2 linked regions of the Lepisosteus oculatus genome follow. The protein of the gene in region 1 interacts with the protein of each later gene in a biochemical or structural test. Links are inferred from orthologs where the notes say so. Each region holds a gene or a part of one and is shown in the gene's direction. Other genes may lie near its edges. The genes, in order: lamina-associated polypeptide 2, isoforms beta/gamma; lmnb1.

Evidence for each region.
Region 2: the proteins of lamina-associated polypeptide 2, isoforms beta/gamma (region 1) and lmnb1 form a complex in vitro, tested with the Homo sapiens proteins (2 studies listed by BioGRID). The link is inferred for Lepisosteus oculatus from reciprocal best matches to the Homo sapiens genes TMPO and LMNB1.

Annotation. Positions count from the first base shown.
Region 1 is NC_090702.1:48,990,840-49,006,633, forward strand, and holds the start of lamina-associated polypeptide 2, isoforms beta/gamma, read left to right. Parts: upstream 1-9,735; 5' UTR 9,736-10,229; coding exon 10,230-10,472; intron 10,473-15,794. UniProt on the Homo sapiens protein: May help direct the assembly of the nuclear lamina and thereby help maintain the structural organization of the nuclear envelope. Possible receptor for attachment of lamin filaments to the inner nuclear membrane.
Region 2 is NC_090698.1:51,386,932-51,402,677, reverse strand, and holds the start of lmnb1 (lamin-B1), read left to right. Parts: upstream 1-9,173; 5' UTR 9,174-9,515; coding exon 9,516-9,880; intron 9,881-15,746. Other genes in the region: protein JTB-like, read left to right, coding at 1,710-1,774, 3,870-3,907, 4,039-4,124, 4,590-4,669, 5,383-5,539. UniProt on the Homo sapiens protein: Lamins are intermediate filament proteins that assemble into a filamentous meshwork, and which constitute the major components of the nuclear lamina, a fibrous layer on the nucleoplasmic side of the inner nuclear membrane.

The DNA of each region.
Region 1 (15,794 bases):
TTTGAACCCATAGCCCCCCTGGCTACGAATCCCGAACCTTGACCACTGGTCCTCACTCAGACACCGTGAGGCTGCATGCATACAAGCTTTAGCTAAATAAATGCATGGACAATAGTGCTCCAATCCTCTCTGTAGGATTCTTCTAGCGCTGTGAGCTCTGTTTCCCAACCTCAGTGTGCCCCCTGCAGCAAGCCAGGTGACTGGCAAACCAACATGTTCAGTTTCCAGTCTGGGTGTGGCTAGAGTTGACCACAGATTCGTCAGCCACCTCTGTGCAGACAGACCAACTGAAGCCGCTCACTAGAAATGGCCTTCTGGACAGGACCTGTGGAAACAGGCACACTGGGATAAATATAGGAGGACTTTGGAAGGAGTAAAAAAAAAAAAAAACCCCACTGTGCTAACATCTGATTCCCTGGAATAGATGCAGTCTCTCCCAAAGAGACAGGACTCATGGATGCCACCCCACAAGCATGCAGTGTGTGTAGACCAAATATAGCAGAGTTGCCGCATAATCCCTCAACACGCTGAAGGAAGACACAAGGCTAGTGTCAGTGAACACCGCACCAGGGCAGTGGAAGTATCTGAGTTGGAAATGCCCTGAAATGAAGGTGCCTGTGGAAGCACTGGTTGGTGTTTGTTGTTTTGAGGGCAGAAAAGGAATTATTAAGTCCTAATAAGAGCTTTCGAGTAGATTATAAACCTCACGGACACAAAGGTAGTTCACCAGCTCGAAGGTCACCTTGGCTCATTTCACTTGTCCAGTTTAGAACGGAGGACCTCATCGGCCTGCTGTGGAATGAGAAGAACATAGGAAGGATTATGCTCTTGCTTGTTGTGAAATGATTTAATCTGTTCCCAATTGCTGAAACTTTAAACTTCAAACTGACTCGATCGTGCTTTTTTGTTTCTGACCTGTCAGACTTGAGGTCTCTGTGGGCCTGAAAGTGTGAATGAGCACTTCTGGTGATAAGTGCCTGCTGTGCCTACTAGACTCTGAAGATCAACAGCAGCTCCCTCAGGATTGCTGCTATCTGCCAATATGTTACAGCACAAAAGCGCACACATGGAGTTCTAAAAGGGTGAGTGTGTGTATATTAGAAGCAAGTATTTCTGGTTAATCCAAATACAAAATCCAATTTTTAATAAAAAAGTTCATCCTTGCTTATATGCTCTCCTTTCCTTATAGTCTATTTATGTTTCCATGTGAGTTTTATATGAATATGATACTAGCAACCAGCAGAACAACATGAGATAAATGACCTCTTATTTTGTAAACTAAACACTGCAGAACCCTGATCACCAGCCCCCAGGAGGAGACAGACTGGATCCCTGATCACCAGCCCCCAGGAGGAGACAGACTGGATCCCTGATCACCAGCCCCGCAGGAGGAGGCAGACTGGATCTCTGATCACCAGCCCCCAGGAGGAGACAGACTGGATCCCTGATCACCAGCCCCCAGGAGGAGGCAGACTGGATCCCTGATCACCAGCCCCGCAGGAGGAGGCAGTCTGGATCCCTGGTCACCAGCCCCGCAGGAGGAGGCAGACTGGATCCCTGGTCACCAGCCCCGCAGGAGGAGGCAGACTGGATCCCTGATCACCAGCCCCCAGGAGGAGACAGACTGGATCCCTGATCACCAGCCCCCAGGAGGAGACAGACTGGATCCCTGATCACCAGCCCCGCAGGAGGAGGCAGACTGGATCCCTGATCACCAGCCCTGCAGGAGGAGCAGACTGGATCCCTGATCACCAGCCCCGCAGGAGGAGGCAGACTGGATCCCTGATCACCAGCCCCGCAGGAGGAGGCAGACTGGATCCCTGATCACCAGCCCCGCAGGAGGAGGCAGACTGGATCCCTGATCACCAGTCCTGCAGGAGGAGGCAGACTAGATCCCTGATCACCAGCCCGGCAGGAGGAGGCAGACTGGATCCCTGATCACCAGCCCTGCAGGAGAATGCAGTCTGGATCCCTGATCACCAGCCCTGCAGGAGGAGGCAGACTGGATCCCCAGGACTGTACAGGAGCGTATTCAAACTAACACATAGCCTTAGGTTACAAGTGGTTGCAAAATACAGCAAGGCGATGGAGAGCAATTGAGTGCCAGGGCTCTCCCATCTCTCGACCTGAGGCAGTACAAAGTGTTCACTGGCACAGACGCCAGTCCAGGAATAGTTCAGCTGGCAGGAGCTCAGAAGAGAGGGAGGGAGTTCAGAGTTACAGGTCAAGCTAAGGGCCAGTCTCCGAGTCTGAAAGAGCATATTTATTTATTATTATCTGCTTAAAACGTTATTGACATGACCTGAGGTAAAGGTAACAGTAAAGACCTCAAGTGGATTTCTAACTCAAATCTCAGAATTTTGACGACACGGTCTATTTTAAGAAAAGCTAAAATGGTAATGGATCTATGTGTGGAGTTTGCACTGACAAGGTCGAATGTGTTGTGAAGTGCATTCTCATTGGTTACTAGAAACCGTTGATACTATACAATTCATAGCGTAAGAACAGATTGTGGGTGTAGTTCTGCACCTCTGCGCATTGTGCACTTGTCTGATGGTACAGGAGCCACAGGGAGGCTGTGCAGTACAATCTGCCATCACCAGGACACTTCGGATTAGGGCTGAGGCTGAAATACTCACATACAGGAAATGATGGTGACCCCCCGACCTGTCCTCAGTAGTGCTGTGGTCTGTCATGTGCAGCACTGGACAACAGGTTTGCTGTGCAGAGAAGGCCGAGCTGCCCTGGGCCCTCCGAGTCTTCAGGAAAGACTGCCTCTGTGGGAAAACCACCTCCTCCAAGCCCCTTTGATGGCTCTGATTGCCTGAGGGACTGCTTTTATCGCGATTATTAGAGGGGATAATGAAGTATTTGTGGTATTTGGAAGAAGAAGGAGAGCATTTGTTTCCACGCCAGGATATTGCATTGTTCCAGTGGCTAGGAAGCTCTCTCTCACACACTCACACACACGTCCATACTATATATCCCGGGGCCAAAACGTACCTGCCGGGTGCCATATGCACAGAAGAGCCCACCTGTACAGGCTGAAGGAGATCTTTACAGACAGCCATCAAGGCTCCGAAGCTAAAGTCCTTTCTATCGTCTCTGCAAGCTGTCTCTTGTGATGAGTATTCAGCATCACCGCGTTCCTGCTCCCGGTTTTGCATTTTTTCATAACGATGAAAAAAAAAATGCCGTACATGTCGTCCTCACATTTAGTGAGCCTGTGCTACACGGACATATATGTCTGCCTGTCCCACGTTCTGCCCTTCCGTCATCTTTAATTCTGCTGACGTGCATTGTGCTTCCTGAACTATGACGGGACGTACAAGCCAACGCCGTCGGTCGCCCAACACAGGAACGCGAGAGCATTTGGGTCGGGCAGGAAGGGGCGACGCTGCGGTGGTACTGCACTGCCCTCTGGTGGTGAAAAGCCGGAAGGTGCCTGTTCTGGCGGCTTCACTTCTGCCGAAGCAGCGACTTCGGTTGGATCCGCAGCGTCGAAGATGACTGATTCTTGCGTGAGTTTGACACGCACCCCGCCGAGATCAGGTATATCGGTTAGCGATCTGAATATCGGATAGCTCTCCTAATATTTGACCTGTTGGACTTCAATTTTTAAAAAAAGTCTCAATATACCATGCATTCTTAAACAGAATTACACCAGGACGTCCAACATTATTTATGTACAGTATTGGTAAAGTCCATCATAACATATCGATTGTATATGAACAGAAGCCATCGACATCGGGATAGACGAGCTCTTAGGGAATAATGCATGCTTAAAAGCTCATTAGTTTGTGTTTGCAGCACATCTTTTGAGCAGAGCTTTCTTTATTTTCTTTTTTAAAAGTAATTGTATAACTTACCACATTTTTTCATAAATATATGTTGTACATTTGCTTGCATTTTACTAAGGCTTTGTTAGAGATGGTGTTTACAGAAATTGCTCGCTTTTCGGCGGTATTATTTAGCAGCGACTCGGGCGAGGTGAAACTACTGTACCGAGAATAAGGCGAGAAATCAGACGAGACAGATTACACATGAAATTAGAGTCAGGACATATTCTGTCGTCTTTTTTTTCCCTTTAAAAAAACACGCACTGGGATTCCAGAAAGTTTCTCGGTGAATACTAGAAAAACTAGCTGACCCGAGAAATGTTTTATTTGTGAAAAGAGGAGACATGTTATATGTTGTGAACGAACAGGAGTAGGTCATTATAAGAGACTTTTAGGATCTGAACCAGCTGTAAGTATAAATGTATCAGTCTCTATGGGGGGTCTAGGTTTGACATATATGCATGTATATGTATATATATTTGGCCATCTCCTAATTTTTCAATTTGTCACGTTTTGCAATTACTGAAAAAGCCCAAAATGGGCGGTCTTACCAGCTCTTCCTCGTTAGTATAGTGGTAAGTATCCCCGCCTGTCACGCGGGAGACCGGGGTTCGATTCCCCGACGGGGAGGCTGAAATTTTTTCGGGGGCTAAACTCAGATTTATGCCCGATTATTGTAATGTTGGTTTTGGCGGGGTAGGACCTTTTTTTTTTTCCCTGCCGGATGTCATGTCACATAGTGGCGTTTTCTGTTTTTGGATGATGGCCGTGGAATTAATATAAACAGAAGAATACAATTTCGAACTAAAAACGAAATAACTAAATATAAAAAAATATATATAAACCGGTGTACGTCTTAATTACTATAATTATGAATACGCGCGTTGCTAAACGTCTTCTGTAAGTTCAAATGATTTTATCAGCGTATGTAGTATGTTATTCGAGTGGGCACCCGAAGAAGGCTCCACAGCTGAAAGGACGTTTCTTTTCTCCTCTTTTCAGCGCGGAATAAGACCTTTACTTGTTCCTTGTGTCGACAGGCGTCTTAACCCTCAACGTGTACCTCCAGAGAGAAGGCTGGGACCCGTGTCACAGTTGGCCACGTTATAATGTGCCTGGGTTGATGGACTCCATTGGCGTGAAAACGTTAACATTTTCCGTTCAATAATGTCCCCGCCTTCCCCCTGTTTTTTTTGTTTTTGCTTGCTTCCAGAAATGTCCACTACACCTTCGTAGGGATTGAAAATGTTAAAAATCTCAGCCTCCCCGTCGGGGAATCGAACCCCGGTCTCCCGCGTGACAGGCGGGGATACTCACCACTATACTAACGAGGACGGGCTGGGGGACAGCGCCGTGCTCGGGTCCCTTATACGCGATGCGTCGTCTTTTCATATGAAACAGCCGTGTAATGCGTATAAATATAACCCTAAAATCATTTCAGAGTGTTGATTTAAATGTCTCTGGCTGGGAACTCGGGGATCGGCTTCCGTCATGTGCTGTTTCCCCATGCTGGCCCGCTCCGCGCTCTTCCCTTGCTCGGGAGAGGAGGCGCGTTGGCACTTGCTGCCACAAGAGGGCGCCAGTCTACCGTTCGGCCACCCGGCGGGGAAGCCATCTTCACCGCCTCAGGGTTGGTCGGTTGCGATCACAGAAACGGCGCGCTAGCCTGTCGGCGTACTTTTTTTTGTATTTTCACGATGGCCCCCCCCAACTCCACTGTGGGGTTTTGAACTGGTGTCAGTCCCAACAGCGACGATCAGTACACGCCGTGGTTTAAACGCGTCTCAAAGCGCCGGGCGTTTATTATTATTATTATTATTTAAAAAAGTGGGAAAGGGGGAGAGACCATAAAGGTGCCGAGGTTGGCTAATTGCCTGCACCTGCTACTATGTCAGGAATGTCGACTAAACTGATGCTCGTCCTGATACGACAAATTACCCCCCCCAGTCCTCACGCCAGCGGTCGGCAAACAGTCTTCTGGCACGTAAAGACTTTGGAAAAGAGCTGTCCAGCAGGACCTCGTGGCGCAACGGTAGCGCGTCTGACTCCAGATCAGAAGGCTGCGTGTTCGAATCACGTCGGGGTCACTCCTCCTTTTAGCCCCACATTTAACACCCATTCTCCCCGGAACCCGATTCATCATTTGTCAGATACGCCACTCGTGTTCCAGGCAGAGCGCTGCACCTTTTCAATTCAATTCACGAGGCTTTATTGGCATGTCCAATGAGTCAAACCAGTGCTCCCCAAGCAAAACAAATACAACATGAAAAAAAATCTGCAGGCATTTACAATAAAGACACGATCATACGATATTTACATATGGAGCATTATTGGGAGAGGCTCACTGCTCCTCAGGCTGGGACAGGAGATCACATACTTGGCTGCCAGTTCAACAGAGTTCCCTCCTCCCTCTCCCAGGAGGATTGGTACTTGTTGTGATTCTGGCAGGTGTGGGAACTTTGGGATTAGTTTTGTAAATTTGGGGAAGAATGTTTCTCTCCTCCCAGAATATTTGTCACAGTGCAGTAGGAAGTGCACCTCTATCTATATTCGCCGTCTTATAGGGTCAAAGCTGTATCCTGAGATGGAGAAAGATAGAGAAGGAGCCACAAAAAAAAAACGAACTAGGTTTTCCAGACAATCTGGAAATGACAGGCAGGAGAGACCCAGCAAGAGCAGAAGATGGCCCAGGAATTGTTGTTGGTTGTTCACAGAGATACCCAGCTAGAGAGCGTCACTCCAGAGCAGCTACTGCTGGATAGACGTGTCCCGACCGCAAATCATTACCACGACGTTTGGTCGATCAAATAATTATATTATTTCAATATATTGAACTAATATAGCATTCAATTGAACTCCCCCACCACCACCACCCTCCTTTAAAAATAAACAATTAAACTTTAGTAAGACAAGGTGACAAGAACGAAACTTAAAACTACGCACACGGAGTATAAAAGTGAGGTATTAAACTAGGATTACGATTATGATTACAGTGTGTTTGGAACAAAACGATTCAGGGGGGCTCCCAGGGAAATTGCTGCTTGATCCAACGACGGGTGAGCCGATTTCCTCCGGTTTACAAACCGGTCCCTCTGTCTCCATCACCGTTCTCCCGGGGGAAAGGGAAAGGCTCTGCGTCTACACTGTTGTTTGTCAACAGTGGGCATGTGAATTGTTTGGCGGGAATGTTCGGATGATTTGGTTTTAGAAGACCTTTACTTGGTTTTGGTTGGAAGGTGCCCATAAAACTGTATTTACTATTTCATTTATACAGTTGTGTATTTCTATCCTGCTGAAAGCATAATCCTTTCCAGAACACGAGTGTCACGGGCAAGTTCATGGGGCTGTATATTCTTGTATTTTACCTTGGTCAAACGTTTCCTTGGTTTTCACGCTTGGCCGTAGAATTATAATAATCCAGTTCTAGGAGACTGCATTGCAGCTTTCACCAACTGTATTGTTTAGACACAAACGTTTCAGATTTAGACTTATCACACGATAAAATTTGAATCCACTATATTGTCGCTACATGTCTGAGCTACCTTACTCAATTTTAGTATAGCATTGATAAGTACTCACCAGTAGACCACTTAAATATACTTGACCATGTGCATAATGTGCAAAGAAATAGCTTAACAGCAATCATGTCTTCCTACGCCACTGTGCCTGGCTGTGCTGTGACTCTAACCTACAGCATACAACAGGGAGAGGTACTGAACACCTCACCACAGAAATTAATTCCCTGTCGGGGTATCAGACACAAGACAAGACAAAAGCACAGACAAGAAAGACTCAAAAAGAGGGGAACACGCATAGGGAAATACAACTGCACAAATAACCGACAGCAACACTGTCACACAACAGTCTGTCTCTGAGTCATCAGCCTCCGGTCTCTGTACGTGCGCAGACTCGAGCCCAGCCATAAGGAACACCTCAGCAGGGGTGCCAGAGGGTAGGGACTTGCAGTACCATGTCCCCAGGAGAACCTCTCTCTCCGCCCGCCTCCCTCCTGACCTCCAGGAGGAGAATTCCTTCACCTTCATTCCTGATCTCCATCTGGTTACCGCAGGCCAGGGGTGGCCAGCTCTGGTCCTGCAGGGCCACGGTCCAGCGAGATCTACAGACCACCCTTATATCAGCAGTTGGGTAAAAACAAGGGTAATTGCGTTTCGACCACATAAGCAAGCAGGGCTGTCCAGTCCCGGTCCAGGAGGGGTCAGTGTGTCTACGGCAGGGCAGTCCAGTCCTGGTCCTGGAGGGGGCGCTGTGTCTACGGCAGGGCCGTCCAGTCCTGGTCCTGGAGGGGTCAGTGTGTCTTCAGCAGGGCCGTCCAGTCCCAGTCCTGGAGGGGTCAGCGTGTCTTCAGCAGGGCCGTCCAGTCCTGGTTCAGGAGGGGGCGCTGTGTCTACGGCAGGGCTGTCCAGTCCCGGTCCTGGAGGGGTCAGTGTGTCTACAGCGGGGCCGTCCAGTCCTGGTCCTGGAGGGGCCAGTGTGTCCACAGCAGGGCTGTCCAGTCCTGGTCCAGGAGGGGTCAGTGTGTCTACAGCAGGGCTGTCCAGTCCTGGTCCTGGAGGTTCAGTGTGACAGGTTTTCCAGGTCTCTTTAAAGCAGCAGCACCTGAAGAGCTGGGAGAAGCTGAGAAATGGCTCCCGTCAAGCCGGCATCCAGCTGGTTTAATTCACTAAGAGTGGAGCTGGAATGAAAACCTGGCGACACAGCGACCCTCCAGGATCAGGGCTGGGAACCCCACTTTCAGCTACATGGAACGTGAAAAAAAAATGATTAGTCCACAGTCTGTCCAAAGTGCAGGACAATACGTCCAAAGTTCCCAACCAAAAGAGGAGGATCGTTTTTGGGTGCAGGACATCAGGACAAGGGGCGGGTGACAGTCCGGAGTCTCTCTGGTATCAGGAGGTGATGAGGGCCAGCTGCATGGAGAGTCTCCACTTCAAGAACTTTATTTTCCCATCACAAAGAAAGATGGAAAAAAAGCAACAAAAACACTACAGCATTATATACCCACAGTTTAATGGCATATAATATCATATATATAAATGAAGACAGGCCAAAAAAATACAACTAAATTCACTTGGTTCAATAAAGGCAATATTAAAAGACAATATTCTACTTAAAGAGTTTTGCACAAGAACATCCCCTTCCTCCCTTGTGTGAGTTCTGTATAAGGACTCCTAGACTCTGGTATGGAATGCAGAGGAGAGGGGCGAGATTTCCTGCACCTGCAGGGACTGACGCTTTGTGTGAACCTCATTCTCGGGGTGTCCGCCAGAACCCCGCTTTTCACACTCCCCTCCCCCCCCCGAAAAGAGAGAAAGCTGCGGTATCGTGGCCTCGTGGTGGAGCCCAGGGGTCTTGATGCACTTTGTAAACGAGTCCCGTTCCCCAAGAATGGCCCAGTTCTTTCACAGGAGGCTTGTCCTCACATACTGTACTGTATACAACCCATAACACAGTGCGTTACGTGCCCCTGGACTATAGTGACACCAGTAGTAGTGCAAGCGTTGTACTTAGTACTTATTTCAACGCCACATTACTGGTCGAGATTGTCCGGCTTCCGAAACGCTTCTTAATCGGTCTGGTTCGTTGCCGTGAAGACGCGTTTGACATTCGGATAAGAAAATACTGAAGTGGTGCAGAAATCACCCGATTCATTGCTGCTACATTGCAACGCAACGGTACAACACCCGGCTATTCTACACTAACGAGCAAACTGATGCACTTCCAGGCGATTTCTGTTTTCCTACAAGCGCGTAATTATAATCCCATCATCATCATCATCTTTCCAGGGCTTGTTCCTCGCCGCAGCACAGTTCAGCCCTCAGTCCTGCTCGCTCCTGGCGCGTACAGACCCAGACCCCGGCTCCAGGAGCCCCTAGCCCTCAGCTTCTGCGCTCCAACTTGAAGCCAATGGCGAGGTCCTTTCTACAGCTACGCCGCCCAATGGCGCTCGGCTTTACTGGGCAGTGAGGCGAAAGCCGCCCCCCCCCCCTCTTTTCTCGCTGCTCTGGCTTCGTAGTGGGGCCGGGTTGTTTGTCTGCGCTCGCTAGGGTGGCGTGTTTTTACACACACACACACTTAAACAAGGGAGCTGGAACTACACTGCTTTCGCGCATCGCCGCAGCCGCAGAAACCCGGGGAGCAGGTCTGAAGCGCAAGAAGGAGAGGAAGGGGAGGGGTGGAAGAAAAGGATAGCGGTTCTCGCGAAGGATATCGACTGTCGTTGGCGTTACTGTCTTACTCCAACAAGAGGCGCCCGCTGCACGTTTTTTTTTCTCCCCGTCCAGTTCAATTTTCTGCGCGTCGTAGCGACAGGCGCCGATTCCCCGTGTCGGGTCACCACCACCAACACCACCACCACCACCACCAGCAGACATGTCGGAGTTCCTGGAGGACCCCTCGGTGCTGACCAAGGATAAGCTGAAGAGCGAGCTGCTGGCGAACAGCGTGCCTCTCCCGAGCGGCGAGCAGAAGAAGGACGTCTACGTCCAGCTGTACTTGCAGCACCTCACCGCGCAGAACAAGGCGAGGAGGAACCGGGGTGCCCCGGAGGCTTTCTCCAGCGACGAGGAGCTGCCGGCTGCGCCCCCGGTCAGCAACAGGAACCGCTCCGGGAGGGTAAGTCTGCACTTTGTCCCGGCCGCCGGCGGCGGCTGCTTGAAGCGCCGGCGTGCCTGCAGCTCTTGGTTACATTGTGTTTCCCTGCTGCGGGACCCGCTAGCTCAATGAAACGCCAGTTTGAAAAAAAAAGCGTGCAACTGTAGCCGGGGCAGGCAAGCTTGTATCGACTCTCCTGATTTTATTAACCGGTGACCGCGTTGTTTTAGCACTTATTTGTCCCATTTAAAAAAAAAAATAATAAGAGAGGACCGGGTATTTATTTCTGGTATTTCTTTGTTTTGTTTTAACCAACTACAGCGGGTCAAGATTGTGTCGGCTTGTGCCGGGGTCGCTCGTTCAAGCGCGGATTGTTGTGAATTGTCGCTTGTGCTCTTCGGTGGTGCCTCCTGTCAAAAGTTAGCTCTGGCCTGTGCAGGACCACCACCGCCAGCCAGGCATGCGTTACAATATGGTATAGAGGTCTGCATGTTTTCTCCGCTGTTTACATTTATTTCTCTTTGAAGAACCTTTTTTTTTTGGTCTTAGCCCAGACCGAAGTAGGTCTTCTACAGATAACGTTGATCTTGGGGGGGGGGAGAGACCACAATGCGGTGCATGAAGGCGATTGAAAGCGATTGGAGTGGGAAATGGACAGGTGCCGGAGTGCCCGTGTGAATTTTGGGGGGAAGTGCGAGCTTCATTCACCTGTCCTGCGAGTGTGAGCGATGCTGTCCCTGAGAATCGCCTCCGTCTCTCACTTTCCCGCTTAAACACTCGGACCGCCTTCGGAGCCGAGAGCCCCTCGCTATTGTGTGGGAACTGCCTTTCGCCATTAATAATTCATTTTCGGCTGCGCCGAGACGCGCCGAAATCATATACCTCGCCGGTGTTCAACCTGCTTCGAAAACGTCGTGCGTTTTTGTCTGAGCGGTTTCCGAGACGGAGATCGCAAACGGGTTGAAATATTTCGTAGCGTGGCCGGACGGCGCTTCTGTGTTTTGAATCCGACGCGGGCAGCCCGGTCACGCTGAAGGGAAATAAACAATAGAGCAAGAACGGGCTCTGCACGGAGTCGAGGAGCGATTGCACATCCGGATCAACCGTCTGGGCAAAATCACGGACAAATACGTGAAATGATCAAATCATTTTAGCTTAAGCAGTAAGAAACGGAAGGCGCGCATCGACAAGTACCGAAACTTAAAAAAATATGTTCTCTGAATATTCAACTGTAGCGGATCATCTCCATTATTTAAATCGAAGTTAAGGCGCTGCATACAAAAAAAAACTGCGTAGCGGGTATATCGTTTTATAAAACTTGATAGGGAAAATGTCTCTTGTGCGGAGTTCGGTAAATCACGGTAAATAACTCTTGGATATCTGAATAATAAAAATATCTGACCCCAGAGCCACATTCTGCGGTTCAAGATTTTGTACATTTGCTCCCCGATAGCGTCCTGCGGGTTGTCTTGGGGTGTGGGGGTCCACACGGGGTGGGTTCGGTCTTCATGTCACCTGGTGGATGGGTGGGGGGATTTGACTACTTTTTGTTAACTATTCTTGCCGCAAAAGAAAGATTTAAGATAAGTGATTAGATTTTATTGTCCCCTGAGGGAATTTTGTTTTATGGACACGCAGCGCTCCTATACATTTAAATAGAATGCAAACAAAAAAAAGAAGAAAAGAAAACATTGCACATTATTCTATTACAATAAATAAGAAAAACATTGTACATCAATCTATTGCGCATGTACAATATAACACACCACAGCATGTAACATTTATAGCGCATCACAAAAATACAAGTCATAGGTTTATTCCGTGCTGGAAAGAGAAGAAAGAAAACACCCTCTTCAGGTGTGAGCGTCACAAAAACTGTGTAGCGGGTAACGCCACAAAATAGGATCCGTGTCGCAAATAGTACTGTGGAGTTTAATAAAATAGACATGCTACAACACTTTCAAAAGGGCATACGTAAACAAGAACCAAGAGAAACAAGAAAAACAGCAAAATAACAATAACAAAAAAAAATTAATAAGGAGTAAAGAAAAAAAACCCTACAGAAAGCACAGGAGGACAGGTGTCCGTGTGGCAGCAGGGCGGCGAACTGGAGTTGAACTTTAGCGGAGTTGTGTTTTACCCCGGTAAAAGTGCGGTTTGTGCTGAGGCGGGTTGCTGTGCTTTTAACCTTGATTTTGTGATTTTTTTTAAACATTTTTTTGTGATTCTCGTATTTTGTGAGCTCGCAGAAAAGACATTTCATTGCCATCAACTACCGCTGCGCGCTGTATTGTTGTGCATTTGATCAATAAACTTTGATTTTGATTTGATTTTGTTTAAAAAGAATTCCACAGCTCTAAAAGGTTGTCATTTAAGAGCGATCAACTCGATGCTTTGCTGTTTTGGACCCAGCCGAGAGAGCGGCCGACTGCGCGAATCCTTTTGTTGAGTCCGGGACGAGAAACGGGCGTTACAGAGCTCGTCACGCTGAGACGGATGAGTGGACCTAACGGCCCATTAGCACGTAAGCAATTAGTGCGTCAGTGAGACGGAAATCTGGACCCGAGGCCCGTCGCTGGGGGTGTCTCGGCGCTGACGTCAGTGTCAAGCCCAGGTGACGCCGCCCCCTACCGGGGCTTCACGAAGAAACTGCGGGTTGGACGTCGGGACTCCCTCCCACGGCACACAGTCACTCCCGAGTGGAGTGGACGCCGTGGCCATCTTCACTTAAGGTGGTCGTGGGGGGGAAAGATGCTGAATGAGCTATTGGCGGCAACTTTCCGAGTAACATTTGCCCTGACGTGTTTGCCTCCGGCAGAGCACAGTCCGTGCTCTGTCCGAGCAGTTCTCATGTCCTGACTGACGTCTGTCTTCTGCCGTCAGATGTAGGTGTGCTGTGACGAGTTCAGTCTCGGATTGAGTAAGTGACCCTGTATTCTCCCCGTGTGTCCGCTATATCACAGGTCTCCACTCGTTTCTGTGTGGAGTTATGTTTCACACACGCTGTTACTGAACCACACCACTGGATGTATTCCAGGACTGTTATTATTTTTTTAAAAAGATATATTTTAGAGAACAAAACAAAACCATTTTACATATAAACCACCATTATTCAGCCTTACATCTCAGGCAAACAATTGTCTGTTCCTATTTGTTCCCCTAGTATTTTACGATTATTTAATTAACTTTTAAACCAAACTATATACATTCAAAAGAAGGAAGATGTATACATTTCTGAATATGAAAAGGGAGGAGACCAGTTATTTTGTATCTCAACAAAATCCAACCTTGAAGGTTTAATGTACTGAACCCATCTAGACCAGTATTTGACCTTTTTTTTCCACTTGTAATTTCAGTGAAAATGTTATAGCTTGCTTGTTATAGCTTTCTTCCCTGCTGATGTAAGGATTCCAAACAAATATCCGTCAGTTCCCCTCCAGTCAAAATCCAGTTTACCAGAATGTAAAGGGTATATTCCTTTCAAATATAGTTTCCAGGGCCTCATGTAGGACTGTCATTCTTATGGTGAGGTATAATTACCGTGGTTCTTGTGCAGATTATACTTTGCAAGATGGTTATAAATTGAGATGTTAGTGCATCATTTGAGGCCTGTTTCTTATTTGCAGCATGCCTGTTGACACAATGTGGAAGCTGCAGTTTGCAGGAGAGGTGTGCAGTCTGCACAGTTTCACTACCTGAATCTTCCGATACACTTTGTTACTTTAGACATCAGAAGACCCAGGTTTGGAACAGAACAATGTTGACAAAGTGTTGGAATTCTGCTTTTCATGTGGATTAGTGGGTTAAACACCTCATTTCCAGTGCCTGGAAGATTTTATTCTTAGCTTGGTTGTTTAGATTTCTTCGCAAAGCTGTTTTTTTAGCACCATTAGACAAATTGTGCTCCAGTTTAACTGTTAGTTATGTAAGGCAGGCTAAAGTTTATTGTGCTTTATTTGATCATGTAAATGAACTTGTGTCTTGGGATTTGCCGTCTTGCCTAAGTTGATTTATGCTGTACCCAGTCTAGTGCATCGCTTAAGATGCTGTTTAACTTTTTGTCTTGTTTTTTTTACACATCTGATTTGGAATAGCCTGTTGTACTTTTCACAACTTGGCATTCAAGACTCCTCCCAGCCTCCAGGCACTCATCTCCTATCACATCACAGGCAGCACAGCCTTGTACTGGGGGATCAGCTGTGATTGAAAATTTATTCATTATATAAAGCACTGTCTTTTACTGAGGGATCAGCTCTGATTGGAGGAAAGGCACGACCATCATGGGGCTGCCCCGCCCTCTTCTGAAGGATAAGGTTTGATTGGAGGGTATGCACATCCATCACAGGCTGCCCCGCCCTTTAATGAAGGATGGGCTTTGATAGGAGGGTAAGAATATCCATCATGGGCTGCCCCGCCCTTTACCAAAGAATGAGCTTTGATTGGAGGGTAAGCACATCCATCACAGGCTCCCCAGCCCTTTTCCGAAGGATTGTTCTGATTGGAGGGTAGGCACATTCATCAAAGGTAACACCACACAGTACCAGGGGGTCAGTACTGATTGGATGGGAGGTGAATCCCTCATTGAGAACCAGGCATGGCTGCAGGAACCCAGGAGGCCACAGGGGACACTGTGCCTCGGAGAGCCAAGAAGATACCTGCTCAGCTAATCCCACTGTGCCCTTCAGTGGCTCCAGGCCAGCTGTGCACTAGCTGGGGAATTCCGATTAAAGTCAGCCAGTCACTTGAACCAGACGTGAACCCACAATGTCTGAATTATGGAGCTCAAGCTGCACTCCTTCAAGGGCAGAGCTTCTCAGGGAAGCCTTTAAGAGATGCTGTTAACTATTGAAAAGTCTTAGTATCTCAGAAAAGCACTCGCATGCATCCAGGTTCAGGCCATTGAACGTCAAGCCTGATGCACCTCGTAAGTGATCTGGAGGGAACGATTATGTCACTGCTGTCCTGTTCAGTTGATAACTAATTGTAAAGAAATAGGGCTTTTTTTAAAAAAGACTCTTTCCCCAATAGAGCACACTTTGCCTCTCTCTTCCGTTCGGTTGTTTCTGGGTCCTAAATTGTGTGGTTAGAATGAAACATGCCACAGACTTGTGAAACAATTGGGTCTTTTTCAGGAACTAAATTCCTGCAGTGGATCAGGTTAGGAAGATGCACAGTGTGCTGTCTCTGGCCTGTAACAAGAGCCTTTTCACATTCTCCCCCCTGCTCTGAGAGCGGTTGTTTTGCTAGTGGGCTTGGCCTGTCTCTTGAGGAAATCGCTTTCCAGGGGGAGGAGTGTGCCTCGTGTCTGCAGTCAGCCAGATGCAAGCGCAGGGCCTCAGCCCT
Region 2 (15,746 bases), on another chromosome or scaffold:
TTTATTAGTACGTTTGTTTGAGTGACGTTTTCAAATATGGTAATTCATTTCGTCACCCTGTTGTGTTTTACCTTATGCATGCAGAACATGTATTTCTTTTAAATAAACATTCTATGTCACTATTCTTTGGATAGTAAATTGGTTACATTTAATACAATAATATACCGTTTCGTTTTAGGAAATTATACCGTTAAGTGATCACTAAATGAGTTTGCACTTTGTCGATTATATGGAAAATAATGACCTAAACCTATAGCCTGAAATGAACGAAAACGCTTCCGTGACAGGTTCGTGGTCTCCACAATTGTTTCAAGGAAACGTTAAATGGGGGTTGACCTATTACGATGTACTATACATTTGGTAATTCTGAATACGTTTCCTTGGTGTTATTGGTGTTTAGTTCAGTTTTCTTATTCAATGAAGGGTCACGGTGGACCTGGAGCCTATTACGGAAAACAACGGGCACAAGGAAGGGTACATACTGGATGGGACTCCAGTTCTTCACAGGGCAGACAGACACAAATACGTTCAAACCAGGGCCAATTTTTCCATGAGCCAATTATCCTACCAGTGTGTATTTTGACTCTGGGTGGAAACCGGCGCTCCCAGGAAACCCACACGAACTAGGAGAGAACGTACAAACTCCGCGCAGACAGCACCCCAGTTCAAGGACTGAACCCAGAACTGCGAAGCAGCGATGCAAAACAATCAATTAAATATAATTAAATATCAATTAGAATTATTAAAATATTACTACAGTGGCCAAAATTTATTTTTGTTTGCGGGTTGCTGTTATTCTCATGTATGGCACTTTGCCTTGTCCAGTCCGATTCTGAATTCCACGTCTCCCAGTTCCTCGATTCCCACTGAGCACAGGAGAAAACCGAACGTCCCTTTCCCTGAGGAGGGTTTCTAATTGGTCCTCTGCGCGGCGCCCTCATGGACAGGAGTCCTATTGGTTTCACAACTAATCAATCAAACGCATTTCCTACAGATGACGTGATTCCCGGTGTTGTCATCAACAGTTGCGTGGTATGTGATGTTCTTGTTGTTCACTATTGATATTTTTAGAAAGTTACGAAGTCGTCAATTCAGCTCTACAATGGGGATTCTAAGACCATCGGTAATATAGCAGTCGTCCTCAGGATATTAATTAATTTAAGCAGTACAAATTTCTGCTTAGATACAGACCACGTAAGTACCACATATTAATGACATAATGTCTAAACTAGCAATGGGGTCTTCTTCATAGTTTAAATTTCCACTGAAATACAGTGGGAAAACATCGTACTGGGGTTTACTAATCGCAGCACACGTCAAAGCAGCAAGATGGTTCATACTAATCGTCTGATTGTTGTTGACCGCCATTGAGCTTATCTACTTGAAACTTTATTTTAATGTTGTTGTCTTTTTTAAGTTTACGAAGCGTTCATTTTAAAATCAACCTAATTTTAGTTAATACATTTCTATAATAGTATCATTTTCACACGTGTACATGAGAAATTACATTTACATTCTTTTCATTACAGTAGTACAGTATAGGGGTATTCTGTAATATTATGTTACATGTACATGTGAGTCTTTCGAAATCACCTTTTGAGGCATAGTTCGCCTATGTGAAACAAGTAGTTCCTGTATAACCCTCTGTATTTTTGTCAGTTTACAAATTAGATCAAGTGACCTCATAAAAACTAAACAGGCACACAAGGATGTACTTCAGCTGCTTCTGTGCTTTGTCTTCTTTATGGATGAGTTGGAGTTTAATAATCATTAGGTAAGCAGAAAGGTTTTAAGATTGCTTAACTGTTTGATTTATTTGTTTATTTGTTTTCAAGTGTGTGTATGTCTACCAGTATGTTACTTTCAGTGGGATGTTTTACACAGGCTCTCCTGATTAACATTCTATAAACATGATGTGGCTTCTGTGATGATAAAGTACTTTTTTTTACCAGTGATGTGTGCATGCAAAAATGGTATTTCAGTTCTGTCCCTGATTTATGAGTTTGACCTTTATGGGTTTTTTTTATAATCGGATCATTATGTAATTGGATATCGGGTTTGGTTACCATTGAACTGTTGTCCAGATCATTCACCCATTTTCTAATTGCTTCATCCAATACGGGGTTGTAGGGGAGCTGGAACCTATCCCAGCAAGCAGTGGGTGCAAGGCCCGGGTACACCCTGTACAGGAATCCAGTCCACCTCAGGGCTCACACAGAAAGACACAAACACACTCATACAAGGGCCAGTTTTCACCGAAGCCAATTAACCTATCAGCACAGTATGTACTGTACTATGTGTTGGGGCTGAGGGAGGAAACTAGAGTACCCAGAGGAAACCCATACGAACACACAGATAACAGATAACAGCTCGTGAATTGAACCCGGGGTCACGGCACTGCAAAGCAAGGATGCCAGCCACTGTGCTACCATGCTGCCCTTCTCCAAATCAATTCTATTTCATTTTCACTGCTGATTGGTTTAAGGAACAACTACTGTACATTATGAAACTACTGAACTTTATGAAACAGTGGTTTCTGGCTACTTGAAAGAGGCTCCATGCTGCTTTCTTGTTAAGACTGAAAACCGCGTGTATATTTCATTAACATCCTTCATTGCTGGTATGAGAAGCCTTCAGAACAGACTGGAGGAGAAAACAGTAATGCTTTGCATCACAATAAAGATCAATTTCCCCGAAACAAATGGTAAAATAAATCTTATAGAGAAAATGTGCTTAGAAATGTCTTATTTAAATAAAATATTACAAAGAAAAGGCATTTTGTTGAAATGGTATGAACAATGGAAAGCACAGTAGTTAGCATTGCTAACTCTCAGCACTAGCGCCATAGCTTCAGTTCTGGACCTGTGATGCTATCTGTGTGAAGTTTGTATGTTCTCTCCATATTTGCATGGGTTTCCTCTGGGTGCTCTGGTTTCTGCCTTGCACTCGCCGTTTGCCGGAATAGTCACCGTGATCCTGAATTGGAAGAAGCGGTTAGAAAATGGATGGATGGGTATGAATAATATCATCGAAACCACGAAAAGCCCCTAAATTAATGCCGAAATAATTTGTTTAGAAGGGAAATTTAGCATTTAGGTTTCTACAGTCAACAATGAACAAAAAAAGCCTTATTAAAAATGATTTCTTTTACTTTGTAAATTTATGGTGTAGCCGAATCTAAAATCTGTGTTTCGCATAACAAACATTTTATACTGTTTTCAGCTATACTATAGTTATGTTACAGTCCAGTGAATTATAGTTTTAGTTTTAACACTTACACATTTGTACCAGCAGGGGGAATCATTTACTTAGGGAAATGGGGTTTATTCTTATCTCTTGCTAACTTATTTTGGGGTAATATATTTAGTATATCGTATATTTTGACACCTGAAGAAGGCTCCACGGCTGAAACGTTGTGTTCTCTTTCTTCTTTTTTTCAGCATGGAATAAACCTATTACTTGTTCCTTTGCAGCCTACGCATGCTGACGCAGCTACCCACCTGAAATATTTAGTATATGGTTTGTCTTGTTTATGCCATCACTTTTTGTATAAACAAGTAATATTAAACCATCTTCTAGAGGGCTTCAGTCCTTCTGCTCTTCATTCCAGTTCTTGTTCTCAGTTATCTGAATTGGTCAACTGGACAAGGATAATATCGAATGATAGAATAAAGTAAATTATTAACTCTAAAACTTTTTATTTCTTGATAGAAGCATTCAATTTTGTCCAGTCAACTAATAATGTGATCAATTATTTTAGAGCAATTAAGCTTGGAATAAAATTGTAGGTCACTTTGTAGTCAGCTAGACTCCACTGATAGAATTTTCTAGGCTGTAAAAATAATCCTATATAATTTTATATTTTATAGATCCTGTGATGGAGCACCATTAACACAGAATGAAATGTGTAAGTATTTGCATTATGATTTGGTCAAATGAAACCTCATGAATAGTGAACATTTAAAAGAAAACCACTAAATATGAGCTGAATGCACAATTCACATATTTTAAATGTGTCTCTAATTCATTTTTTTTCAGCTAGCAGTGCACAGCCACTTCATTGTTGGGAGACAGAAGAATTTACAGTGCTGCGCACATGCTTTCTGTGCAGAGATTATCAGATGGTAAATCAATCCATATGTTCATGTCTGTGCCCAGATGTGGATGAATGAAAGGCAGAATGTGAAAAGGAAGTGTTTATAATTAGAGAATAATAAGGTCTTGTATGGTTTTCCTTCCCAGGGATGAAGCAGTAAAGGTAACACTTCATTGGATATAAAGGAAAACATTTCAGAATAAGAATCAAGCTTATTAGAATGATGCTTTATTTGCTCCTCTTGGTCTTCTTCTGATACTACTTACTATTGTTAGTATCAGAGTTCATTCCATTGAGCATAGTATTGTCTTTGATTTATTATAAGAAGTGTGTTAAAAAGTGCTTCCTTTTATAGAATTACTTGAGATCACACAATATTCTTAAAAAGACACCAAAATCAAATGGAGCTGTAGGATGTTCAAGAGATCATTGTACAGTGTGTGGATATATGAATTAATTTGACTGACTTGCTCGCCTTTGCTGTTTTGTACAGAAAACTGAAGCACAGTGTACTTTTTCTGGCTTTGTAGAAGAACTGAAGTGCAACACCTCAGGCCTCATTGAACATAGAAGGTAAGAACATTAGGAGGGTTACAAATGAAATGAGGCCATTTGGCCCATTTAGCCCAATTGGTAGTAGAGGCAAGGATCTCAATTAGTTGCAAGAGGCCAGGGTATTGACCTCTACAACATCAGTAGGTATAGTAGCTTATTCTATACTTGAATAGCCCTTAAGACAAGTATTGTTTGATATTTTTGCATATTTTCACATTAACAATCTTATGACAATTTGTATGGCTGTATTACATCATTCTTGAAATATGGCCTTTCATCTTCTTTTTGTTGTGGCTTATTAACCCAAGGAGATTATTTCAAAATCGTTCATTACAGCTTGTGTTAGAATTAATTTATGTATATCTACTGTAAATGATTAATTTTTCCAGTCTTTTCAAAATGGTTTATTATATTGTGTTGTTTTATTAAAACTACAAAATATCGTACTGTAAAATGGCCACATTTAATTTTACATCAACCATCATCATTTTTTCCCCATTGGTTTGGATCCTCAGCCAGCTGTGGACAAACCTTTTAAATTCCTTTAGTTGTGATGTTGAATTGGACAATGTCCTTCATGGCTTTCTGACACTGTTCTGCTGTAAGACTGCGCTATTTGTAAAAACATCTGCTGTACGCAGCAGAGGAGATTTTAGAGATGTAAAGGCTGTCATTAACTGCGCAATAATAACAGATTTGCTAGCTGAAAAAGTGATTTATTTGCATTTTAGTTGTCGCTCTGCCGCCGCAGAGGAGCTGAAGTTCTGGAAGTTCGAAGGTGCTATGCTGACGTTCAGCACCCTGTTTGCCGTCCTTGTGATGTTCCGCCAGCGCACACTGGACAGACGGGCTGAATATAAAGTACAACAGCAGATCCAAGGAATATAAGCAAGCTGTGGATGTTCCGGTCCTGGATGGTTCTTTCCTAATTAAATTGTTATTTGTTCGTCTCTGTGTTTCCACCCAAATGTGAATTTTTTGGTTTATGTTAAACCTACTAGATGAAGGTTTCAGACAAAAGGTAGTTCCAGCTCCCATCGTTTTTCTTATTACAGTGCTGTAAAGATATTTTTTTTTCAAATGCGATATGCTGCAGATTAATAATAGAGGTGTAAAAACTACTTATCTTTACTGTTGTATTCCTGTTTCTTAAAAGACAAAACAGAGCTGTTTTAAGTTTGTGTTTTATTGTGAAAGTCTTCAATATTAGGTTACTGAAGTGGGTGATTTAATTTTATATAGCATTCTTGCCTGGCCAGGGGTATACCATAACAAAAAATGTGGTTTATTCAATAGAGAAAGATAGTTTTCCCTGTTTAGAACTGCTAAAAGGAGACAGCTTTGTCCTGCTTAGTCTTCTTGATTGAGAAGGCTTGTTTTGCATTAGTCGATGCTTTGGAGTTATAAATAAATTCTCTTTCTCTATTGAGAAACATTTCATGATAATTTAAATTGCCTGCAGATAACATTTAGGATATGTGGTTTTGAATGAAAGCAATATTTTATCTAGCTGAATAGCTAAATTACTACCTCAGACAACATTTTCAAAAAGTGTGTTGCACAGAGTGTTTCTATGAAAAGAGAATTCTGCCTTGCACAGTCAAGAGTTAGAACAGAAACACTTTCCAGATCAAGAGATATAGTTTTAATAAGCTTGTAATTCTTAATCATAGAGTTTTTATTGAGAATCTGAAATAAAGTAAAGTTTGCGAAACAATTTTGGACTCATTTCAAATGAAAACTAGTTAATTTGGGAATACATATTACAGTATATACATATGAATAGATTTATATTAAAATAATTAGGACACAAAGTGTGAGTTAAAATATTTGTATAAAGATTTAGATAGTTCACAACATTATTTAAAGGTATAAAACCATTAGCAAAAGTTGTCACTTTAGTTATGAATTACACATGACAGCTTTTCAACAGATCAATTACTCTCTGGTGGTGAGATTATAAATATTTTAAATACTCAAAGAAGGTATGATTTAAGATATGGATTATTTCTTCTCACCACCTCCCAGAATTTCACATTTAAACTACACAATATAGACTTGTTTTAAAGTTGTGTAAAAGATATAATTGTATTTGTTAATACTGCTGAATTCCCATTCATTATCAGAGGATTCTGAGATCATGGTATGAAAATGTGACAGCTAAAGGCACAGCAGAGACATTTCATATTTCCTGAATTGTTAGTGGGATTATCAAGTGGGATTTTTTTTAAAAAGTGAGTATGAACAAAAATGTACTTTTGATTCCATGGAGCCAAAGCTAAGAGGAGACAAATGACAAATGAGGAGGCCTCCCACTCCTGTCCCTAAGTTGAGCTCATGAAAGTAGCCCTAGTATTGTTAAAAAATTATAAATATTGCAGTTCCCAAACTAGTTATCAAGTGGGCCCAATAAATCATATTTTTATTATTTAAAAAGATGATCTATTAAACTATTCAGGTGTTGTGTTGGGAGAGGTGTGGAAGGTTAAAAATGAAATGATTTTCCTCAGAATTGATTCTTATGCCATCTGGAGCAAATTCAGAATAAAGGGCTTTGAGCTGACTGGCATGAAGACACTCAGTCCCTCTGAACCCTTTAAAGCACAGTTGTAGGAAGGGTAGCTAACCTTTGCCCATTTCAAACACAATTTTTCTGTGTCACCATTTTTCCAAAGTAGCTAATAAAATTTAATAAAATTGTAAAGAGCCCTATACTTTTGTTATGTAAAGAACAAAGCTTTGGTGATAATTTTCACACTGGATAATATTCAAGTGCATTCAATTTCAATAAAAAGAATGCATATCTCAAACAGTTTTTGCTATTTATAAGGATTACATTTGTTAAATGCAACAATTTTTACAGCAGTGTTGAAAATAATTGTACATACAGTACCGTTTAGAAATGAAGCAAAAGGTTACCTAAGTTTGGGCCACTTTTTATCTCTGTTACTGGTTGATGGCTATCCTATAGAAGCAAGAAAAAATGTTAGAAAAGTCTAGCACCTATATCTCTTCTTCACATTTCTATCAAGAAAGCAAATCATTACAGTTCATAGAATTTACAGTACTTCATATCCATTGTTTGCTTTAGCAACTTTTGAACGAAGATTCCAACTTTTTGTGTGAAAAAAAACAATGAAAAAATTCTGTAAAAAATGATAGATTTAAATCTAAATTATATCCAACGATTAACAATTACCAGGGTGTTTGTTTCATAAATTAGTATAAAGTAATGCATGCCTCCAGACCTCTTCTGAAATTTATGGGAACTGATTCAAGGTATATTCCTAGGAATATTAAATATGTATAGAATGTAAATTCAGTACTATAAATATGGATGCTTAAAATATTTGGAAGAAAACTGGTTATTAAATTAAAATTTCTAAAAAACATCCTTGCATTATACATGCAACTACAGTATGGCACTACAATCAAGTCTTGTTAATTAAGGCAATCAAAAACAGAAACCACAAAACCTTATAATATTGAGCATCAAAAACTTAAAAAAGCATCGCAACAGCTCATCGTGCTGATCAACATTTGTTATCCAAAGAGGTCTATAAACTTTTGGAGGCAATAAAAGCTGTAGAGCTGCGACTCGGGCTTTGTAAAACTTTCAGATTGCGTTGTTTGCGGGATTCTGACTCATTCCTCACATAGAGTCTATGTTACTTATAGTAGATCTCCAAACTTTAGATGCCACACATCGTGAGAATAAATCCGACAACTTTTCAAAATGGCTCAAGTCAAATAGCATCCACTGCACTGCTGTCGCATTTCTATCGCGCAAGAAAGCCGTTACAGGACCAGCGTTAGTACAAGTGTTGTCCTATTCAATACCTTCCCGAGTCGGCAGGGAAGCGCAGCAGAAGATACAGTATTTCAGGACTTAGTAAATGTAGCTCTGTACACTCTGGTTTAATAGTGAAGATTTGTAGAGACTACATACTCCTGTGAAGGCAATTTAAACCTCTCCGTCTGGTCTGCGGCAATAAACGAATCGTTCTACATTTGCACCTTACTTACATGTCCACCAATGTAAACTACCCACATAATCTTGGTTACACTACCGGCGATTTCCATCCAAAGATGCAGACGAACAATAGGCGTTGTCCTGTGAAATAACTGGTCAATCGTTTTATTTTGTGTTTTGCTTTCGTGTAGTCACTTTTTCACCGGTGCCCGATTACGTCTCTTACTAACGAAGTGGTTCAGCGGTTAGACAATCAATCGAGTCTATCACAGTCAATCAAGAATTATCAAAGTCATCAAAATGACGCCAGAAACATGTAGTCATTATACACCATCTGTATATATTATTTTCTAAAACCTGAAAGAAAAGTTTATTTTGATAGTCAACATACATTACAAATTGCTGCTAAACTGCACACGTGCGTTTAGGATTTATTTTGAATTTTGTCTCAAACTCGCAATTTGAAAGGACGGCTTTCGTTACTTTATATCATTGGTTTCATACAGTCACGTTGCTGTTAGATGCTAATGAGCGGCCATATTAGTCAAACCCTTTCTTTCATTCGGTTGGGAGACAAAGTGAAGGGAGGCGGTTTGTAGGGTTTTTTTTGGTCAATTCCTAGCTTGCTTTTCCCTTTTTGCTTTGCTTGCGCTTTTTTTCTTTTTTATTGGCTTCATTATACCCCTTTTGTATTTATAATATTTTTTTAAAGAAGGGAATCACGATAAATATATGATTTCTGCTCCTTGATTTTATAAATAGCTTGGCTTTGTGGGAAAATCTACATATTGGTTTTTTTTTTGTACTTTTAGGGATTTTGTCCTGCATAGGTTTTTTTTCGGCCTGCTTTGTTTCGCAATTTGGTCTCCTACATTTGCTTCTTTTGTTACAATGGCGACAGCAACTTCAACCCCGGCTGGGCAAAGAATAAGCACTCGTTCCAGCGCTGCTAGCACCCCGTTGAGCCCCACAAGGATAACCAGGTTGCGGGAGAAAGAAGAACTGAGAAACCTGAACGACCGTCTGGCCATTTATATCGAAAAGGTGCGGAGTCTGGAATCGGAAAACAGCGTTCTTCAGCTGCAAATTTCCGAGAAAGAAGAGGTGCGGAGCCGGGAGATCACTGGCTTGAAGTCTCTGTACGAAACCGAGCTAGCAGACACCAGGAAATCTCTGGATGACACAGCCAGGGAAAGAGCCAGGCTGCAGATTGAGCTGGGCAAGATCAAAACGGAGCATGAACAGCTACTCCAGAAGTAAGTTTGCTTTTGGCGTTATATGGACAATTAGGCTTTTCTAAATCTGAATTGGAGGTAAAATCCCATGAAATCGTATCATGTTTTATATATAACCTTGTGCATATTGACATTGTATACAAGTTAAAATATTTTACACACACTTTATAAGATTTGTGAGGGTCGTATTTAATTGTAAACGAACCAATGTGTTTGTAGTAAGCAATGCGGTAGAAATTATAAATAAAAAAAAATATTAGTCAAACGACATTAACTACACAGGGTTTAAGAACAACGACAGAAAATTAATATATTTTAGACATTCTTCTGGAAGTCGCTTTTCATTGATTGCCTCAGAGGGGCGTGTTTGGTCACTTCTGTTGAGTGTCATGGGGAAGTTTATTAAGTTGCATTGCAGAACTGTGGGTCGCTTTGTGTCCTTTTCTTCTGTCAGTTTTCCTAGTGCCACACCTTTCCGATTTGGTGGGGGAGGGGTATGTACCTCTCGACAAAGCTGTTTATTGAAATCCCCAAGTCCACATGACCTTTTTTTGCAGCAAGTCGGCCAAAGATGATTGTTTTGGTCGCCAGTCCTGCTCGACTAACTCAAATAATGTCCCGAGATTTTTTTTAACGGCCTGTTTACGTTGATTGCTCCGGAAGCATCCGCTCCCATACGCAGCTCAGTGACCGGGAATGAATGGGTCTTCTGCCATGCTGGTAGACCGAATGATAGTACGCTACAATACTACTACTATTGGCCATATGTGGAAAAGGGGAGGGGTTGTGTTCTGCAACACAGGGACGCATTCTTGAGTTGAATAATGTTCGGATCCTTAATTTATTTTTTTTAAATCAAAGAGGACACAGTCGTCACCCAAGGGGCGAGCGCTTTTTTGTTATTTTGAAAGTAGGATCAATTTGCTCAAGGTCAAATTTCGGACCCGTCGATGAACAGTGCATTTTTTTAGGGTGTTCGGGTCATCGTGCCTTTCTTTTCCAGCTTCCTGTTAGGCGTAGGCGTCTGAAATATGCCTGGAATAATGCCTGTTCTCATCCTGTAGGGAAACGAAATTCTCCCTTTTAAGGGGAGCTGGATAATTGCACTAGCTGATTTTTATTATTCTAGACTGGAATGTTGTTACCTTAATGTTTTTTTTCTCTAGCCAGTGTGTACTTGTCAAGTAAAAGAGACTAATGTTAATCAAGTTGTACTTGTCATCTCACTTTGAAGGTCTAGTAAAGATGGCCGCGACCCCCCTCTTGCTGCGTAAGCTTGAATTCTTCACAAATATTCGCTTTTGAAACAGGCTTTAATAGAGCATAATTAGAGGTCTACGCGGCTCATCTATCTGGGTTGATCCTTAACGAATTAAACACACGCAGCAAGTTAGATTCGTAGGTTATTCCACACTTCCACAGTCCTTTGTGTAAAAACCTTTTCTCTGTTCAACTTGCTGCTGTAATAGACTCGTTGGTTATAATTAGAGATTTAACATACCCGTTTAATAAATGTAGTGTCTCTTGTCTGCTTCTTAAGCAATTTTCAAGGAATGCTTTTTTAAAAATTTGGTCTATACCAAAGCAGTTTGAAAAAAGAACTTAAGTCATGTACACAAAAGCATATTGTTTATTATGTTCATTTAATCTTGATTGGAATGGGTTATGAAATTATAACTTGCATTGTTTTTTTTTAAAAGCCTCCACATACCCGATAAACTCGATGCTTAAATTAGCAACTGAAACTCTCAAACACCTTAAAATCAATTCTTGTAAATTAAACTGCAGCGAAAAGATACGATGGTGTGAAATATGGACTTTCAACCTTCAAATACTCAATGTTTGCGGGCCTGGCTTTAATTAGGACATTGTAACTTTGCCAGGACTATTGTGTATATTTGATGGCATTTGAAAAGTCAATTTTTGCTATTGAATCCCTATGATAAAGCAGGAACTGCAATCAACATGTCGTCTGTCGTGGCAGTAGAAACCAAAGTACAAGGAGCGATACACAAAGGTTTTAATAGTTTAGAGGACAATAAGATTTGGTTAATATTTGATTGACAGCAGCACAGATTTGCACTACATCCGCATCTGTTCAAAGATTAATTGGAACAGTTGCAATCGTATATTTCTGCACTTGGTGTTTAACAGGTGGTTTCATACATCAATTGAAGCTGTTAAAGTTGTTTGTTATTCTTCAGAAAGTCTGAAGTTCAGAAAGAATTCACTTATAGTTTCTTTTGAGTCTGACTTGTCTTCCTGTGGCTCGTAAAGCCTGCAGGAAGCCCAACTTTAAAATGCTTGGTTTTTAACAGTCCAATCCTTGTTCCTTGAGAGGAAAATGTTTTCAAAACTTAATGGAAGTTTTATGAATTTTGTAAACTGATTGATTTCTTAATGGACATTAAATAGTACTTGTAAAAGCCATAACTATTTGCAAACACTTATTCTAGTGCGAACCGTCAGTTATTTGGGAAATTGCAGGGGCTAAGCTCAACACCTTAAGGTACTTGCATTATTCTAATACTGTAGATAAACCCTGGGTGTTACAAAGTTGAGCCAGATCAAGTACAGTACATTTACCCCCCTTATTAATTTTCCTTTTCTGAGCAAGTTAACCATAGCCATTTGGTCATGGACACTTGCTTTTTAAAGAATTGTTTAACTGTGAACTGTTTATTTTAATTAAAATACAAAATACAGGAAACTGAAAGCTATCTGATTTTGTGCAGTTACAAAAAGTATAACACAATTGGCAAGACTATTTGAATGAGGTGATGAATATTAATGGTAACATTGATATAAGAACAGTTGCTGTCAAAATCTGTGTATGTCTTACAAATGTTCATTCACAATGGCCGATTAATAGATTTAAACAAGAATCCTTCATATGGGTTGGTCTTTTGCTACAAGTGTTAATTCTTCCTCTTCAATGGTTTTCCTTTTTAGTGCAGATCACTTGAGTGACACAGCAGCTGGAAGACTGGTTTTGCACAGTTACTCTTCAGTTGTGCCAGTTGTTCCCTTCTAGCTTTTAAACCATAAATTACAAAGCCCTTTTGTCTTGGCTGCCATATACTCTTTTTCAAGAGACCTGTAATTGATATTAATTCTTATTCTACATGCACATTCCTGGGACGCTTTCAATGTAAACATAGAAGTACATGTACTTATGGTTATAGGTGTGCTGTATTGTTTGAATGTAGTGATCCACTAAGGACAGTGGAGATTCTAGTGACTTCATGTATGAGAGTACTAGATAAGATTTAAGAACTCCTTCCATACACTCATTTTCTAACTGCTTTAACTAATAGTGTTGTGAGGGAGTTGGAGCCTAGCCGGGCAAGCAAAGTGTGCAAGGCAGGATACACCTTGGATGGGACACCAGTCATCACCGAATACATATAAACAGATGCACACATTTTTCAGTATGTTCTAAGATCTAGTTATATTGAGCTTCAAGTGTTCAATTAAAGGTTTGTGAATGAAATAAGGTTGCACAGTTCTAAAGTTCACAGCTATGATTGTTGTAGAAAACCAAAGCCAGCCAAAGGAAATTTGGACTGTGGATAAAATTGGCCGTCTTTTTTTTTTTTTTGAGTCTCCTGGTTCAATTGCTGAATACAACACATCAAGGGAGGGGCCTTTTCTGTTTTAAGTACAGTTTTTCTTTGGGGCGTGTAAAATGTTTGAAATTCCAGTAGGGTTTAGGTCATTGCAGTTGCACAATGTTCTTCCCTGCATGTACAGTATTCATTGCTTTGTAGCATTTTTGCTTGTTTTTTTCCCCCTTATTTGCTCAGAAGTTTGTTTTTGATCATTTTATTACACTAAATACTAAGAATTGTAATTCCTTAGAAGAAAAATCTGTTAACCTTAATTTTGCGGCAAGTTTGATTACAAAACTAGCAGTATTGGGCATCTCGGAATATGTCATCGGCACCAGCAGCATACCGAGACGTTTTTTTTGGGGACTGTTAATGTTATACAGAAATCTCTCATAGGTCCGTAAATTTTATAAATAAACCTATTTCAAAATCACGATGTGAAAGTTGCCTATAATGTCCTCTGTAATTGCCTGTTGTCTTTGTCCTGACACATTACACTGACCCCTGTACTCACACAGGCAAGATGGCTGCTCTTGCCAGTTCACATGTTTGCCATTCATTCTCCTTTGACCTACTACACACTCTGTCCCTCACTGTCTTCCACACAAATCTGCAGGTGCTCTAGGAAATCACTGGTACCAGAACTGAGGAGAGCGTGGGTCCTTTAACACTAGCAGTGTTAAGCCAATTACTTTCCTGCTCATGGGTAGTGACATGATTTGAGATTTAAACTCAGTGTCTGGATCTTAGAGCTCAGCTTGTTCGTAGCGAGTGTATTTACTAGTTAAGCCTCTGGTTTTTATTTTTTAAAGTGATTATGTACTGTGGGACTAGTTTGTCTTTATTTGCATTCTCTTTTATTTTTGGAGCCCTACAGTTGACACCCTTTGTCACACACCTTTTGTGTTTGATTTTTCATTGGAAGATGTAAACCTGAGGTGAATATGTTGTCCTGCAAAGCCCCCTGGTTTTAAATTAAGTCTGATGCTTAATACATCCCATTCTTTTCAATATCTCCCATTCATCTGTTTTTTAGGTATGTGAACTCTTAAGTGTTTAAATTTTTTTTTTAAGGTAACTATCAGGTTGCAAGGGCACTCACTGTAACTGGAAACTGTTGTGCTGTCTTTTTGGCCCAGCTTTTCACAACATCCTTGAGAGGTTTTCTCTAGTCTCTTCACTTAATCCCTGCAACAGCTACATGGGCACAGGCTTTCTTCAGTACTACATCAGGTGTGTGGAGCTAAGCTGAGAATGTGGAGCTGTTTCTGCTACATTCTCTCCTTCTCTACCAAACCATAAGATAGACGTCTGAGGCCCCACATCCTGGGTATACAACAAATAAGATTTCTCCATTTATGGATCAAATTCTGAGACAATTATGATTTGTACAAATCAAGATACAATAATGGTTTTCAAGTAACTTTTAAAGTATCCAATGACTGGTGGATGTAAATGGAAAAGAAACCTTATTAAACATAGCCACCTTATTTTGTAGCACGTGTGTTGCCATCCTATTGAGTAGATGATCTTGGTAAATGTTATGCATATTATCAATATTGGTAATCAACAGATGGTCTGTTGTGAAAGTGATGTTTTGGGATTCTGCCCCGTTAGTGTCGTAAAGGCTAATCAGGGATCTACCTATTTAATGGTCTGTAAACACTGGGACCTGCACATTTATTCCCCCAAAGCAGGCTCAAGTCCATTGTGTGGGGCATCCATGACATAACTGTCACATTCTCATCTTGCAAGGTAGCAGTTAATGAGCTGCATTAGAGTGTGCATTGTCCTGTGGGAAAGTTGTCATGTCAGGAGGATTCTACAGGAATAGTAGCAAATGAGGTCCTGGGACTAGACGCTCCTATCCAACCATCACACTTGGATCTCCCCATCAATCTTGGCAACGTTTTCTGACTCATGGTCTGTCATTGACTGACTGTCATTTTCCCCAGGTTAAGAATTGGTAACTCGGAACACTGTAGATAGTAAGTATCAGTGCACTTATTTAGTCGAGCTCTCGTCATAGCAATGGTATACCAAAGGCATGATGTCTTCAGCTTTTTTAACTGGGTAAGTAGCCTCAACACCCATGCCCAGTCAACACTAACATGAAGTGATTAAAGGTCTGAAGGTTAGTCACTCACTTGAGTGTATCATGGTCATTACTGAAAGATAACTTAAAGTGATTTCAAAAACCTTTAATATCCAAACTCTGTAAACCTTTTCTACAAATGCATAAGTAATTCTTTATTTGGTGTGGATTACAAGTCCAG